Callithrix jacchus: one gene and its partner. The protein of the gene in region 1 interacts with the protein of each later gene in a pairwise test. Links are inferred from orthologs where the notes say so. Each region holds a gene or a part of one and is shown in the gene's direction. Other genes may lie near its edges.

The links. The genes of interacting proteins can lie anywhere in the genome.
Region 2: the proteins of RGS20 (region 1) and FASLG interact in binary tests that used the Homo sapiens proteins (3 or more experiments, as listed by UniProt). The two-hybrid records come from large-scale screens. The link is inferred for Callithrix jacchus from reciprocal best matches to the Homo sapiens genes RGS20 and FASLG.

Annotation. Positions count from the first base shown.
Region 1 is NC_133517.1:710,379-713,575, reverse strand, and holds the end of RGS20 (regulator of G-protein signaling 20), read left to right. Parts: intron 1-1,647; coding exon 1,648-1,836; 3' UTR 1,837-2,663; downstream 2,664-3,197. UniProt on the Homo sapiens protein: Inhibits signal transduction by increasing the GTPase activity of G protein alpha subunits thereby driving them into their inactive GDP-bound form.
Region 2 is NC_133519.1:30,102,936-30,106,028, reverse strand, and holds the end of FASLG (tumor necrosis factor ligand superfamily member 6), read left to right. Parts: intron 1-42; coding exon 43-99; intron 100-1,332; coding exon 1,333-1,727; 3' UTR 1,728-2,469; downstream 2,470-3,093. UniProt on the Homo sapiens protein: Cytokine that binds to TNFRSF6/FAS, a receptor that transduces the apoptotic signal into cells. Involved in cytotoxic T-cell-mediated apoptosis, natural killer cell-mediated apoptosis and in T-cell development.

The DNA of each region.
Region 1 (3,197 bases):
AAGAGGCTTTCCAGGAGGAAGGTGGATATATGCACCTGGAAAGATAGATCACATAAGCCAGTATTTAATGATTTAAGTAATTACATTTTCAGTCTTTGTTTTTTTTGGGTTTTTTTTTTTTTTTTTTTGAGACAGAGTATCACTCTGTCACTAGGCTGGAGTGCCGTGGCACGATCTCGGCTCACTGCAACCTCTGCCTTTTTGGGTCCAAATGATTCTCCTGTCTCAGCCTCCCGCATAGCTGGGATTACAGGCACGCACCACTGTGCCCAGCTAATTTTTGTATTTTTAGTAGAGACGGGGTTTCATCATATTGGCCAGGATGGTCTCAATCTCTTGACCTCGTGATCTGCCTGCCTTGGCCTCCCAAAGTGCTGGGATTACAGGTGTAAGCCACCTGTATATAAGCTGAAAAAGCTCGGCCTATTTTCAGTTTTTTTATGAAAGCACTGCGTGGCATTGGAACTATCATGGCCAGCCTGTGCAGGGATGGCCCAGCTGAGGTTCTTTCCGCAGAAGAGACCTGTGAGTTCATGTTTGCACCTTTGGCCTAGACTCATTTGTCTAGTGTCCTACAGGAACAGTTTGAGCCCAGTCGTTTGCTCTGGTTTATGGGACGGTCTTGTCTAGGAAGAGCCAAACATCAGAGCGATAATAGGCGACATCTCCTATGGGGTTAGTGAAATCCAAGCACTTTGTCATTAGATCACCAAAAACATTGACACTATCATCATCATCTTCATCATCATCCCCACCTCAGGGGAGGAGTTCACTAGGACACAGAGTTTACCTTGCCCAAGGCCCTGTAACTATGCAGTCACAGGGCTGGAATTTAAACTCTGGGATCATCTGCCCTCAGGCCCTGTGACTGGAACCTCCCAGGATTTTGAGTCAGTGTCCACTTCACGTGCCCAACCCTCCGGGCAGGCCAGCACTCATCCTGAGACCTGCCACTGTGGACCAGCAGGGGAAGTCTGGGCCTTCAGGCGTCAGCCCCCATGTTACAAGGAAATGAGCAAGGGGCAGTCTGTGCTGCCTGTTTTCTACAAAGCAGCAGTGTGAGCCCCACCAGCATCAGTGAGAACTTGTGGGAAATAAGCAATCAGGGAGACCTCTATACCGCCTAAATCTGGGGTGGGACCCAGCTACTATCTCACAAGCCCTCGAACCTACTGATGCCACTGGCCTTTGAGAACCACGTTGATGATGCTTTTGGTTTCTCTTTCGGGGGTTTGGATTTTTGGGACGATCTCCTTTGGTTTGGGATATTTAAAAAACAACAAGGCCGGGTGCAGCAGCTCACGCCTGTAATCCTAGCACTTAGGGAGGCCGAGGTGGGCAGATCACCTGAGGTCAGGAGTTCAAGACAAGCCTAGCCAACATGGCGAAACCCTGTCTCTACTAAAAATACAAAAACTAGCCAAGCATGGTGGCGGTCCCTGTAATCCCAGCTACTCAGGAGGCTGAGGTAGGAGAATTCCTTGAACCCAGAAGGTGGAGGTTGCAGTGAGCCAAGATAGCACCACTGTACTCCAGCCTGGGCGAGGGTGAGGCTGTCTCAAGAAAACAAGAACACAAGCTCTGGGAGTTTGGGATGGAGCTACAACCGAAGTCTCTAATACACATCCTACTCCTTTCTGTCGGCAGGTGAGCTTAGACTCCCGGGTGAGAGAAGTCATCAACAGAAACATGGTGGAGCCGTCCCAACACATATTCGACGATGCTCAACTTCAGATTTACACCCTGATGCACAGAGACTCGTATCCTCGATTCATGAACTCTACCGTCTATAAGGACTTGCTTCAGTCCTTATCGGAGAAATCCATTGAAGCATAGGATTTTTCAAATATATTTATTATTAATAAAATAATAAAAGAACTCATGGGCTACATCTAGCACAGTGAATTTAGAGGCTGTAGCATCTTCTGCTGGAGTAATACTCAGGCTATTTTAATAACAGATGATTCCCTCAACAGACTGCTATATATTCACAATGTAAATTGCAGCCACCTTTACTGATACTTTTGGGAAAAGAGAAAGGGACAGGGCTGTTGTAGAAAGCGTATTTGCATTTGCAGTAACTCTAGCATGTGGTCAGTGGTGAAGGCTACACAGAAGGCTCCCTGCTGCCCAGGGCAGGTGCATCCACCAGAGCAAAGGGAGCCACTTCTGTTTTGCATGACTTTGGTAACTGGTTACTGTTCCCCCAAGAGAAGACATTCAGGTGTTTCTCAATCACCTCTTCCGTCCATTAAGCTTGGTTTGAACACTTCACTTATCAGTGCCATTACAGGGCCCAAATTCACAGTTCATAAAGATGTGACCACTACATGTAAAAATGGCATTCCGCGTGATCTTAGAGTATGTCTGTATGGAGATACATATGTGTGCGTGTGTGGGTCTCTGTGGTTAATGTAGAGCACTGATCTGAGGTGGGTCAGTCTCAAGTGTCTGGTAACAGAAGCAGTGCTTAGAAAATTCTTTTGTAGAAAAGAATTACTATTATTTTATTATCAGAATTTGCCAACCTAAAGAATGAATTTTTAAAATCACAATTTGGTCATCTTCACAAAACTGTCAAATAAGCATATTTCCATTTTTATTGAAAGAAATATGGGCATTTTCATTCTTTAAAGAAATAAAGCACAATAATTTTATCTCAATCTTTATTTTTCCATATGTACTATTTGGGAAACATAAGATTAAGAAAGTAGGGATACGTGCAGCATATCTTTTAGCTCCCAGACTAGGATTCTGTGCTTAGATCCCACTATTTTTATCAGAGGCAAAAAGAACTTCATAGCTTACAGGTAAAAATACTGGTTGGTAGACCTAGCCCATCCTGAAGAAACCCATCTCTACAATGAATGGGAAACATTCAAAATCTGGGACACTCTGACTAGTGGGAGAGATGCTATGTTGCAGGAGGTGGTGCTGCACTCCCGCCCTCACAGGGGATGGCTCTCCTCTGGGTCCAACCCTGCCTGGCCCCTCTATAGCCTGCCTGTATCTTCATGACTCAATTCAAGCCCCAAAGCCAAGCCCCTCTCCTTCATTCTCATAAAACCATTTTACCTCCTACTCTACTATGCAAATTGTGTCCCTAAGCCTCCTCAACTTCCCATACAACCTATAAACATGTATAGATCAGTGTCTCTTCTCATCTCCCTCAGTCCAGTCCCAGAGAACAATGTGTT
Region 2 (3,093 bases), on another chromosome or scaffold:
TTGTTGGTATTTCATTTTAACATGTATTCCTCTATCACACAGGCCACCCTAGTCCACCCCCTGAAAGAAAGGAGCTGAGGAAAGTGGCCCATTTAACAGGTCTGTATCTGGAAGGTACAGGTGGGATTTGGGAAAGCTTTTGGCAACAGGCAGAATAGCTGCTTGGTTTCATTACTGGGCCCTAGAGAGTTGTTACTTCCTGGTGACAGTATTTGAACCCAACAATACTAACATCTTTCTTGTCAAGTCAGTCTTGCAAACATACTTTGAGCCCCTATTCTCTGGGCAAGGGCCTCTTCTAAATTGGAGACCTAGAGCTAATTATGACATGACCCCTGTACATGACCTCACTCTTTTCAGTCATTCCCAAGTCCCTTGGGGATTGGGGGCACAGATCCAAAAGGTGAGAGCTGAGAAGGTGAGGAATGAGGACTTATTTTCATCAGTGCTTTCTTGGTTTTCTGGAAGAGCTTTACTCTGTTTTGTCCAAGAGTATAAATAGGAGTGAGAAGGGAAACTCAGTCCTGGCACTTGTCAACTTTCAGCCTGTGCCTGCAAAGTGGTGTGAAATGATATGGTATGGGCACTCCCATTGTAAACTTCATAAATAACTGAGAAGTGGATAAATATCACAGAAAGTGGTAGGCTATTGTCCCTGGTATTATTTAGGCAGAAACTGTAGAATGATCCAGTCAGATCAGCAGACACTTATTGAGTACCTGCTGTGTGCCAATTTTGGGATGTGAAGATGAGTAGCACATGGCTCTTGCCCCCAGGGAGCTTGACATCTAATAGGGAAAGACAGGCACTTATGATGATTTTAGTACTGCAGAGATTTGGGTTATGTTCTTGATGCTGTGGGGATACAAAGAAAAGGAAACTGTAGCCCAAATTGAGGAGCTGAAAAATTCTTAACTGCAGGTGAGAAGATGGACCAGATGGTTCCTAAGATCCTTCCCAACTTTAAGACATTAGAGTTCCTTGGATTTGGCTTTTTCCTTCAGGAAAGGACCTCAATGCCTAGCAGTTTTGGTGTTAGTTCTGAAAATAATAAAATCTTTGTTCCAGAGAGCTAATATTTTCTAATAATTTTTTACTGCAATTGATTGGGATATATACTATTGTTCTAATTGTGTGGATGACAAAACAGGACAACAATGTTTAAGAAATTCTGTGATGGATCAAGTTCTGGCCCCTCAGCCGGTTCTATATAGGCTGTGTCATTCCGGGTAAAACATTTGTTCAAGGAAGGACCCGCGGTTTTCCCATAGAAACTTAGTTTGTTGGATGCATGACATTCCTGGCTGAAAGCTCCTTTTGAATTTATTTCAGGCAAGCCCAACTCAAGGTCCATGCCTCTGGAATGGGAAGACACCTATGGAATTGTCCTGCTTTCTGGAGTGAAGTATAAGAAGGGTGGCCTTGTGATCAATGAAACTGGGCTGTATTTTGTATATTCCAAAGTATACTTTCGGGGTCAGTCTTGCAACAACCTGCCCCTGAGTCACAAGGTCTACATGAGGAACTCTAAGTATCCCCAGGATCTGGTGATGATGGAGGGGAAGATGATGAGCTACTGCACTGCTGGGCAGATGTGGGCCCGCAGCAGCTACCTGGGTGCAGTGTTCAATCTTACCAGTGCTGATCATTTATATGTCAATGTATCTGAGCTCTCTCTGGTCAATTTTGAGGAATCTCAGACATTTTTTGGCTTATATAAGCTCTAAGAAAAGCACTTTGGGATTCTTTCCATTATGATTCTTTGTTACACACACTGAGACTGTTGTATTCAATGACGGTCTTCTTAGGCACATTTGAGGTCAAGTAAGAAGACATGAACTAAGTGGACCTTGAGACCACAAGGTTCAAAAGGTCTGTAGCTCCTCACTCACCTAACGTTTATGAGCCAGACAAATGGAGTAATAAGACTGAAGAACATCTGGGCTGCCATGTGAAGAGGCAGAAGCATGGAAAAGCAGCTGCCAGATGTTCTACATTCATCTTCAGTGCCTGAAAGTATTTGGGCACATTGAAAAGGACGCCTTTTAACTCACTTCTCAGGGTGGGCCTTGCTACCTCAAGGGTGACTGTCTTTCTGATACATGGTTGTGACATGAGTGTTTAAGGGATGGGAAAGGAGGACTAGAGGCTTGCATAATAAGCTAAAGAGGCTGAAAGAGGCCAACACTCCACTAGCAGCATCTTCACTTCTAAACACATAGCCTGAGCCATCGCTGATAGTAACAGAGAAGCAAGAGAGATATTTTGAGGACTCATTCCATTCCTAACACAGCATGTGTATTTCCAGTGCAATTGTAGGGGGTGTGTGTGTGTGTGTGTGTGTGTGTGTGTGTGTGTAACTAAAGAGAGAATGTAGAGATTGTGAAATACATATTAGGAAAATATGGGTTGCGTTTGGTGATAGAGTTTGAATGCTTCTTGACAATAAACTCTAATAGTTCTTAAAAATCATTGATTTTCAGCTACTGATGAAGTTTTCCTAGAATATAATAAATATTTATATAGATGTACATTTTTGGGAAAAGAAAATGTAATATAAAGCATATGTTAGGATACAGATAATTTTTAGCAAATATTTTACAAATATTTGAATTTTTGCATATTATTTCTTTTTTCCATGGTTTCTTTATTCATTACGATGCCAGACCACTTTAACAAAAATTTATAGGCTGGGCGCGGTGGCTCACGCCTGTAATCCCAGCACTTTGGGAGGCCGAGGCGGGTGGATCACGAGGTCAAGAGATTGAGACCGTCCCGGTCAACATGGTGAAATCCCGTCTCTACTAAAAATACAAAAAATTAGCTGGGCATGGTGGCGTGTGCCTGTAATCCCAGCTACTCAGGAGGCTGAGGCAGGAGAATTGCCAGAACCCAGCAGGTGGAGATTGCGGTGAGCCGAGATTGTGCCATTGCACTCCAGCCTGGGTAACAAGGGCGAAACTCCATCTCAAAAAAAAAAAAAAGAAAAACAAAAATTTATTGGGGTGAGAAGAACTATGAGGCAATCTTTTCACCTTTGCCAGGTCTTCCTTCTCTCTATATATTTTTTTCCCTCTTCACCTCCCAGAGGTT